Linked DNA regions of Caenorhabditis elegans. The protein of the gene in region 1 interacts with the protein of each later gene in a pairwise test. Each region holds a gene or a part of one and is shown in the gene's direction. Other genes may lie near its edges. The genes, in order: rpa-1 and brc-2.

Region 1 (5,143 bases):
TTCGATAGTTGTACAAAATGTCACGAGAATTTTTTTCGGCTTTCATCCGCGTTTGAGAAAATGATTATTGAAAGCGGTTTACAGTTTACAACTATTTATTCGATATATCAACATATTTGTGTCGGGTGATTATTTACAATTCGTGGGTTTTAGTGAGTACTGGAATCATGAAATGAGATGCGATCAAATGTTATCCATGTTAAAAGCCTTGAAATCGCCGTTGCGAATGCGGTTGAGACGAGTTGGGTTAATTGCAAAACGGCATCTTTTATCGATTTTCTTACTGATGACATCCCTGAAATGTTTAGTTACATAGCATATTTAATAATGATCGCACTAACTAACCTCAATGCTGGTGACAATTGATCAACCATTACAGAAACGGCATCGAATGGTTGCATAAGCATGTCCAGACTAAGCCATCCACTCAAGGCACACTTGCTGTTGAGTCGCTTGGTGACACATGGGAGAGTACATTGCAGAGAGTTACAAAGTTCTCCAAGATGATCAGCAACAATAAATACATTACCTCCAACTGTAGCAGCGAATTTAATGTTAGAATCTTGAGCGAAAGCAGTTAGGTTTGAACGAGCATAGCATTCTTTGTCGCAGCCTGAAAACGATTTTTTGATGGTGGGCAATTTTTCAGAAAAAAAATTACCTGACATGATATCATCAACGACAGGGTTGAGACACGACTCCATTCGCTCAAACAGAACGTGCTTTGTGGCACACATATATTCAACACTGCTGCTGGCTTTTGCGAAGAGCTTGTTGTGATCACAGTACTGTTCTTTCTTCAGACAAGTGATAGCCTGTGCATGATGACCACAGACTTTGCGAGCTTGATGTACAACATTCTTCATGTTCCACAGAGACGTCGTAGAATTGATGAACGGGTCGATGCACTTTCGCATGCAATATGGAACTCCAAGAGCGCGGAAAATTGTGTCGACGTCGAGGGCTGAAGTGAAACTTTAATCTTAAGCACACAATAATCTAGTTTTTTACCTTGTTCTTCGTGTGGCACGACATCTTTGTCGTCGTGTACCGATTCGATGGCACCATTTACACACGAGAAGAACAGAAAGATGGCGGGAAGGAAGAAGGCGAGATGGAGATGGCGCATCTGGAATTATGTAGAAGTTTTTTTTCCGAAATGGGGGTTAGATATTAAGCAGTTTGAAAGTGGTCTAAAAGCTTTCGAAAACTTTTATAAGCTTTCAAGAAGGTCATATAAGGAAAAGAACAGCTAGGTAGAAATGAAGTGGGTAACTGATATAGCCGAAACTTTACATAATTTATAAAATGAAAATTTATCAAAACTGACAAATGAAAATAAAACAAAATCCGAATTCTTTATGCGACTTTTCTGATTTCAAAATTTAGCGCGTCAATAGAAAAGTTAGATCGGCGGGAAAAAACAATTTCCAAACTACGGTTTTGATGGAGGTCTCGAAGCGAATACCGTACCCGGCAAGATTTACGCAGGTGGTCCGAGCCATTCATTTTTTTCTTTTTCAAATGTGAATTGCTTTGTTGAGAACCTGCAGAAAATCTTCATGTTTGGACGAAGTATTGACTTTTAGAATGTTTTTGTTCAGTATTTTAACCCTCTTCCAATATTGCGCTGCCATAATTTCGATTCATGCGATTTTGGCCGATGTAAAACCTTCATCAAAATTTCAACAATTATTATTGTAATCTTTAAAACTTCTCAATTCCTTTTTTTAATATTTATTTGTTTTCTCATATTTTAATTCAAGTTGTGCTCGATTTTCTTTGACTAACAGAAATTCCCGCTTTTCGGCACACATTTCCCGCAAACATCACATTCTACGCCATTTTTTTTGGCGCGTATCCGGCCTGTAGAGAATTCAAAATTGAATCGTCTCCCCTTCATTTGTTTCTTCATGTTTCAAGCTTTTTTCCCCAATTTTTATGTATCTGTTTCAGATAGTGAAAGATGGCGGCAATTCACATCAATCACGATGTCTTCAATAAGTATCATACTAACGGGAAACTTCGACTTACAACAGGCTATGTTCAGGTAAAGAAATCAATGTAGAAAACCAGGAAATTTAATTTTGATGAATTTTCAGGAGGCTATCGAAAACAATGGATATCCTGGACATGATGGAATCGTTCAAGTTTTGGTACTTTTGACTAATTCAAAAGTTTCGCAATAATTCGATAATTTTCAGAAAGGCAAAGTAGAGCAAGGAGAGCAACTTGGTCACGCATTCACTTTCAGAATTCGTATCTCAGACGGTGTTTTCCAATACAGTAAGTGAGTTTGTTATACTCTGATATTTATTTATGCTTTGAAGATGCGCTCATGTCCGCTGATATCGATGACCAAATCAAACGTGAAGTTGAGCATCTTGTTGAGGGAACAATTATCGCTCTTACTAAATTTGAAATCTACGACCAAGGGTGAGATTATAACATTATTGAGTCCTTCAATGTATTTTTCAGAGAAGGTGCTAAGAATTGCTTCCTGATCAAAGGATACAAAATTCTTTCTCGCTATCATCAGGTTTTGACCTCTCCAGAAGTCAAGCCAAGATCTCATTCTGGCAAACCTGATGAGCACAAAGGCTATAGACCAAATATTATCATCGAAGATGTTTGGCCTGAAGCTGAAGGAATGGCTGCTGATTACCAGGAGAATATGGCAAATCCACCAGCAGCAAAAGCGCCGAAAAGAGAATTCGGAGAAGGTAAAATCTAAGAGTTGTAATGTGTGTAATTCGAGTTTTCAGAAGCCTCATACAATCGTGCCGCTGCTCCAGAGGCTACACGCGCTCGAGCTGTTCCACCACCAGCACGCCGTACCGCGTCGAACACAGAAAGAGGCGTGATGCCTATTGCAATGGTTACACCGTACGTATCGAATTTCAAAATTCACGGAATGGTATCACGCAAGGAGGAAATTCGTACTTTCCCAGCGAAAAACACGAAAGTGTTCAACTTTGAAATAACCGATTCAAACGGAGATACAATCAGATGTACCGCATTCAACGAGGTTGCTGAGTCCTTGTACACCACAATCACCGAGAATCTTGTTAGTATTATTTTAATCGGATTATGCATAATAATTAATTTAATATTTTCAGTCTTATTATTTGTCTGGTGGATCAGTCAAACAAGCAAATAAGAAGTTCAACAATACTGGACACGACTACGAGATCACACTTCGCAGCGATTCTATCGTTAGTAAATTTAAAGCGATTCATCATAGCTAAAATATTAAATTTTCAGATTGAAGCTGGAGGTGAATTGCTTGCTGCTCCAAAGCTCATACTCAAACGAGTGAAGCTAGGTGAAATCGCTGGATATGCTGGACAACTGATTGACGTTCTCGTCGTGGTTGAAAAGATGGATCCAGAGGCTACCGAATTCACTTCAAAGGCTGGAAAATCTCTGATCAAGCGAGAAATGGAGTTGATTGACGAGTCTGGAGCACTTGTTCGATTGACACTTTGGGGAGACGAAGCAACAAAAGCACTTGTTGATGACTATGTTCAAAAAGTAATCGCATTCAAAGGTGTTATTCCAAGAGAGTTTAATGGAGGATTCTCTTTGGGAACTGGGTCAGCAACTCGTATTATTTCGGTGCCAGAAATCGCTGGAGTGTCTGAACTCTATGATTGGTACGCAAACGTGAAACCAACCACTGAAGTTAAGATGATGAGCCAAGCTGCTGGAGGATCCAATGAAGCTCCACGTACTATTGCAGGACTCCAAGAAATGCAATTTGGAAAGGATTCCGACAAGGGAGATTACGCAACTGTCAAAGCAATGATTACCAGAGTAAATCCTACGAATGCTCTTTATAGAGGATGCGCTTCAGAGGGTTGCCAAAAGAAACTTGTGGGAGAAAATGGTGACTACAGATGCGAAAAGTGCAATAAGAACATGAACAAGTTCAAGTGGCTGTACATGATGCAGTTTGAACTTTCGGACGAAACCGGACAGGTCTATGTCACAGCTTTCGGAGATAGTGCTGCGAAGATTGTTGGAAAATCAGCTGCGGAGCTTGGAGAATTGCACGATGAAAGCCCAGATGAGTACAACGCTATTTTCGAACGCCTTCAGTTTGTTCCAAAGATGTGGAGACTTCGTTGCAAGATGGATTCGTACAATGTAGCTTTATTTCTTGAAGATCCGTTATGATTGTTTTCTTTATAGGAAGAAGTTCGTCAGAAGATGACTGTCTATGGTGTGGATGATGTCAATCAGGACAAGTACATCGAAAATCTGAAGCAAATGATCGAGCAGATGCAACAAATGAGTGACTACTAAATGTTCTGTTTTTTATTACATCGTGCCGATCTCGACTGTTTCATTTAAATCTAAAAAAACCTAAATATTATTAAAACCTTTTTTGAGCCTAAAGTTATCACATGTCTCACATCCACAATCGCTGATTTTGTACAATGTTTTTCATCTCATTTACTAGCGAATAAACTATACGATGTGAGCCTATCTTTGAGTGCCAGGTGACCTCGAGATGTGTTCTGAAGTGACAGCATTGGGTCGTTGCAGCGTCCTTGAGAGCGGGTGACTGCCCGACAACAAATGGCCTTGGGTTGCCACATTTATCCTACGTCTCTCTGCCCACGACCACATTTTCCATTGCTAACCCGCAGGTTCGTGGGCAGCCAGCGAGCTCTTTGAGCTCTCTTCGTCTATTTCTCTCTAACGCTGTCTTTTTTTTTGTCTTATTTTCCATGAAAGACATTGGCGGATTAGTGGAAAAGACTAGTGACTTTCATTTACAGAAACGTCTTTTATCACCTGTTTTGATTTTCCAAAAAAATAAATTCCGTAATGATTTTATTATGTTTCCAAACAGTTGCAATTTGAACACTCCTTTCAAATTGTTCGTCCAAACTAAGCCGTGCTGAAAGAAAATTTCCGTCTTATATTTTGAGTGTAGCTTTTCTGTTGCAGTTGTTAAGATTTGTCGATGCAATTTAGGGTTATGCAGCTGACCTTATGGAGTGTCTGGGAGAGCACACACAAATGCGTTCCCAACAGAAGGTGTTCTCCGTGTCTATTCCCAATAAAGGTCATCTCCATATGCTCATCCCGTTTCTTTTCACCTAATACGTTTATTCGCAACCTTTTCTAGTTA
Region 2 (5,144 bases), on another chromosome or scaffold:
AACCGGAGGATAACACAATGAATTTGATCGAATTGATTATAATCACCGTAGAGGGTACAGGATTTGGGAAAAAAAAAGACTAAACTGATGCGAGTAAAGTGCAATAAAAGTGGGTAAATATGAAGAAAAAGGTGGGTGAGGAAGGAAGAATTGGAAACAAAAAAACTAAATTTAAAGTCGATTTGCAGACATTTTTTGCTCGACTGGTTGGCTTGATGATACACTTGAGAGCTTGGAAATCATGATATTATCATCAAAAATATCATTGATTTTATCAACTTTTATAGTGTCTCCTTCATCAGTTAACAAGATTAATCCGGGTGCTTCAGTAAGCTGAAAAAGGAAATTCTTGATTTTATTTCTAGAAAATTAAAATTTACTTTGAAATCCACGGCTTCTTTGCAATTTTTGTGTAGTATCGATCGATTTTCTGGAGATGAGAGACGAGCCACAATGTCTTCTGCGATTTTGAATGAGATTCCAAGTTCACGGCATACTGTAGACATGTGACACCCGTAGTGAACTGGAAGTCGCTGCTCCCAGAGCCGTTTTCCCAAGTGATGAATTGCTTTTTCATAGAGGTCTGGGTATTGTTCACGGATTGAAGTGAGGAACAGCTGAGGGATGACCGATCCACGTGCTACCGCTGTTTTGTAGGTCTAAAAATATTTGTTTGAGAATAAATATTCGAAATCAATCTAACGTTTTTCCAATCTACAGGTGGCACGACACGCTCACAACCAATAAGTTTCTTGCCACGCTCGTCGATTTTTTGTAGAATTCCCATTTCTGAGAGTGTTTCTTCGCTTTCTGCTTGCTCTGGAACTTCTGAAATAACTTTCCCGCGATTATTTGGATTTCTATATATTTTCAAACTACTTACCTATTTTCGTTTTCCAAAGTCTCGAATTGTGTACTTGTCGACGTTGGTTCCAGATTTGAGCATTATGAAGAATTCCAATTTTAAAATCACAAACTGGCTCAAAATCTATACGCTCGAATAGAGAATTGTGTGATGTAAGAGCCTGAAAATTATATTTGATTTTCTTTCCATCTTTTTTTATTTTCGGGAATAATAAAACATTCAAAAAGGGCTGAGATCTATCTATTTTTCACATGCGACCCATTTCTATTTCACGTGAAGCACATGATTCTGAAGGGCAATGGAAATGAAAACCCGGAAAAACAAAATCTTTCAGTTTAAATTGTATCAAAACAAGTTTTTCTAGATTACAAATGTACCTGAATAGTGATCCATGAATTGGGACAGACCACATCGAAATAACATTTCACACGTGGCAATGGAGCCATTTTGAAGTTTGGCTGAAATTAAATTTATGTCGAGAAATTAAAAAAAATCAGAGCGTCATCATGAGAAAATAGGAAAGGTTTAGACTGTAAAATCAGGTTTTCATGGCGGGAATGACATTAAAATGGTGATAAGGTGATTATTTTATCAAAAGAATTTTTTGAATGATTGCACCTAAAATCGAGTGCTTTTTCTTTAATTTGATTATCAAAAGAAAATACCCAAGAAATGGAAAATGAAAATTTAAGAGATGAAAGGAAAAAGCGACCCGGAAAAACATCAAGCTGGGAAGAAATCTCAACTAGTTAGACCAAAGCTTCGAACTCTGCGAGCATGTATTTTTTTTCCTCACTTTCTCCTTTTCTTCTCTATTTCTCTAGATCTTTATTACTGCGGGGGCAAAAAGAGTAAGAGATAGAAAAGAATGACGCAAAAAATACACGGATTTAATATTTGCTTTGCTTTTTTATTCAGAGAGGAAAGGTCAATTGGGGGTTTCCCCTCGTTTTATGAATGAAAACCGCACATAAATATAATTATTTCCACAGTTTTAAACGGCAGAAACGGTTCGTGTTATAATTTGTGAGATAATTGATTTTGCATTACGAAATTAGAAGAAAAGGCGGAAATAAATAAATTAGTGTCGCAATTTTTTTCTCAAAAAGGAAATAATGCAATTACGCTCCACCGGACAGTAAAATTCTCAGTTTATTTGAAAAACAAAAATTTAATTTTTTCCCTTTTTTTCAATTGAAATCTCAAATTTCTGAACTCAAAATGAAATTTTCAGACTTTACCAGAATATTGTGACATCGACCGATGGGTGACTCATCTAAAAAAGTGTTAGTCAAGATTTATTTTATTGTTATAGCAAGAAAATTGAGAAACATACATGAATTGCAATTCTTTGTTTTCAGAAAAGACAGTTTCGACACAATATCTGAACCAGACAGCTTTGATGAGCCGAAAGGCGTACCGATATCAATGGAACCGGTTTTTTCAACAGCGGCTGGTATCCGAATTGATGTGAAGCAGGAATCGATTGATAAATCAAAGAAGATGTTGAATGTAAGCTTTGGAATTAAAAGGAAATAATGGAACATATTCTGAAATTAACTTCGACAACACATTTATTCTTCTAATATAAAAAATTTCAAATTCAGAGTGATCTCAAGAGCAAATCCTCGTCTAAAGGCGGATTTTCTTCCCCTCTCGTGCGCAAAAACAATGGGTCGAGCGCTTTCGTTTCACCGTTTCGAAGAGAAGGGTAAGTTTCAAAGGTGCTATCTAGCTCGAAGTTTTTCTTTTCAGAACGAGCTCAACAACTACAAAACGGCCGGCTAGCGGCGGTTTCGAAGATTTCGAAGCTCCACCAGCAAAAAAATCAACCAGCAGTTCTTCTAAAAAAAGTAAAAAACATTCGAAAAAAGAAAAGAAGAAGGAGTTTAAAGGTTAGTTAAGCTCTAGAATTGGCTCTCCTTTTTGAAAACTGTTCTTTATTCCGTAATTCTCGTAATCCGGAGTCTTTTTTCAGAAATCCACGCCGATGTTTTGCGTGTTTCTCGAATCTACGAAAAGGATAAATTCCGAATTATTCTTCAAGAATCCAGCTCAACTCCTCTAATCCTGGCCACTTGTAGCTACAATCGTGGCTCTGATATTAAATTTGGCGACAGAATTCATGTCGACGCGGAAGTCTGTAAAAAATGTAATGCTCAATCGATTGTAGCTATTGATTTAATTTTTCGTAAACTTTCAGCAAGCTCAGGCGATGTTACAGAAATCTATATTGATAGAGTTCTGAAAAATAAGGAAAATGGTGCGAAATCCGGTATCCGACGCCATTCAATTGCCAAGAAGCCGTTTTGCATCAAACCCAGATGTGAGCCATTTCGAGTTTTCACCTAAAAAAATTATTATTTCAGTTATCCACGAATTGTCAGACACGAAAATCAAAAAAACAGTTGTCCAAGTTAACTTACTCGATTTAAATTTGGATTTTTATGCAGGGTACATACTGATTCCTTGATAATTAATATAATAATATTGGTTTCAGATGTTCGAAATGCAAACACTCTCTCCCAGAAGCAGCGAATCAATGCGAGTTTTGTAAGGATTCCCAAGGAAAATCTGAATTGTCGATGTATTCTAGAGTATGTTCTTTATATTTATATTGCCTATTTCCTAATATAGAACATTTTTAATGTTTTGGATAAATAGCCTATTTTCAGCTAAAATCTCAAATTTTTCCGACTTGTCAGTGGTGCGGCGGTCGGAACTCACTTCTGCGAGTTGTGACATTGTCAAGTTGACAAAGTTTGAGATTTTAGCTGAATTTAGATAATTTTTTGAATTTTAGTTTTTGGGAAGTATCGTTACAAAAAAACTTCAGGTGCGAGTTATGGACTTCTCCGGTCAAATGTTTATCAATGTGACTACAAAAAATATGAAGAAATTACTCGATTTGTTAGGATATGAAGGATTTGACAATTGGTTCCGATTCAAAGACCCCCAGGAACGGTGAGATTTTTGCGGCGTTTTAACTTTCAATTTATAATTTTTTAAATTCCGTTGCATTTTTTCAGACAAAACTATGTGTTCCGCCCTGTTATGGTTGAAATCGAAAAATCGAATGATGAATGGGAATGCACTGACGTGGCAGAAGTCGACTGGAAAGATTTTGGCTCTTACTTGAAACATAAAGTATAATTTATTGATACCGAAAAATTACAGAGAACATTTTTTGTTTCACATATCATAATTTTAGAAGTCGGCCAGAATTTCAGACATTTTCTTCATTTTCTTATATCTCAATTGCGTTAAATTTTTTTCTCGAATCTGATAAATCAAAAAAATTCGCCAAAAATCCCTAAATCACCCAAAAATTTCACATTTTTGAAAAGGTTGCAATTTACAAAAAAAAACTTTGACTTGAAATTTGAGAAATCTAAGAATTTTGTAGTGTTTCATTATGATTATCGGTCACGTTAGAGTGATAAGTGTGCTAATTTTACAATTTTAATTAAGTCTCAAAATTATATCAGCTAAAATTTAATAAAATTCCATAATTTTTCAGGAAGACAAGAAGAAACGCCGTTCGAAAAAGAAGCATCCATAATATTCCATTCATGTGAATATTCATTTAATCATGTTTCATTTATTTTATCATTTTTTTGTTGTGTTTATTCGTTTTAACGTAGATGGTTCAAATGCTTTAATTTATTCTCAAAGAATATCCCCGTTCTAATTTTATATGTTCCCCTTCTGTTGTTTCCATGTTAAAGAATTATTATGAAACGATGAAATCTTCATCAGAAATTCGAAAATTTAGAAAAATAGAAACCCGAAACAAGAAAATATACAAGTACAAATACAAGTAGGCACACGTCATTTTGAAGTTGTGGTCTTATAAAGACAATTTCTAAAACCCAAAATGTTTGGGAAATCGAGAGATAAGGGGGGATCAATTGGAAAATAAATTCTATGAATTGATTAAAGTTGGAAGGAAGGTGGAACAGTCAGAAGATTGTTATTATTGCAATTTTGTTCGGAGATTTTCAGTTTTTCAGCCAATTCTTTGTCTTCAAGAGCTGCCAGAGCAATTGTAAATTCGCGTTTTGTATTTTCCTCCTGCACATTATACAATGTCAATGAGCCCGAGCCACGGCGATTTTTGCATCGAAGTCCACGTCGAAGGCATTCGGATTCAAATTGAGATCCTGGAATATATTATAGTTTATTGATTATGTATTAAAGCTGTGATTTTTGCTTCAAAATACGGTAACCGGCCTCGACACGACAATTTTGGTTGAATGCGACAGGTGTGTGCGCCTTT

The links.
Region 2: the proteins of rpa-1 (region 1) and brc-2 interact in a two-hybrid assay, tested with the Caenorhabditis elegans proteins (one study listed by BioGRID).

Annotation. Positions count from the first base shown.
Region 1 is NC_003280.10:7,662,626-7,667,768, forward strand, and holds rpa-1 (putative replication factor A 73 kDa subunit), read left to right. Parts: upstream 1-1,956; 5' UTR 1,957-1,966; coding exon 1,967-2,050; intron 2,051-2,102; coding exon 2,103-2,156; intron 2,157-2,204; coding exon 2,205-2,286; intron 2,287-2,330; coding exon 2,331-2,436; intron 2,437-2,478; coding exon 2,479-2,723; intron 2,724-2,765; coding exon 2,766-3,067; intron 3,068-3,119; coding exon 3,120-3,215; intron 3,216-3,264; coding exon 3,265-4,149; intron 4,150-4,194; coding exon 4,195-4,308; 3' UTR 4,309-4,485; downstream 4,486-5,143. Other genes in the region: F18A1.7 (Chondroitin proteoglycan 4 domain-containing protein), read right to left, coding at 184-295, 346-613, 662-964, 1,012-1,129. UniProt on the Caenorhabditis elegans protein: As part of the heterotrimeric replication protein A complex (RPA/RP-A), binds and stabilizes single-stranded DNA intermediates, that form during DNA replication or upon DNA stress.
Region 2 is NC_003281.10:6,900,062-6,905,205, reverse strand, and holds brc-2 (DNA repair protein brc-2), read left to right. Parts: upstream 1-2,099; 5' UTR 2,100-2,128; coding exon 2,129-2,151; intron 2,152-2,226; coding exon 2,227-2,377; intron 2,378-2,472; coding exon 2,473-2,576; intron 2,577-2,620; coding exon 2,621-2,760; intron 2,761-2,843; coding exon 2,844-3,017; intron 3,018-3,068; coding exon 3,069-3,191; intron 3,192-3,234; coding exon 3,235-3,319; intron 3,320-3,365; coding exon 3,366-3,462; intron 3,463-3,701; coding exon 3,702-3,829; intron 3,830-3,894; coding exon 3,895-4,012; intron 4,013-4,385; coding exon 4,386-4,427; 3' UTR 4,428-4,638; downstream 4,639-5,144. Other genes in the region: T07E3.3 (DSBA-like thioredoxin domain-containing protein), read right to left, coding at 172-333, 381-659, 704-828, 884-1,025, 1,243-1,311; T07E3.4 (F-box domain-containing protein), read right to left, coding at 4,802-5,028. UniProt on the Caenorhabditis elegans protein: Required for the homologous recombination repair of DNA double strand breaks, thereby playing a role in chromosome integrity. Acts by targeting rad-51 to sites of DNA damage and stabilizing rad-51-DNA filaments by blocking ATP hydrolysis catalyzed by rad-51.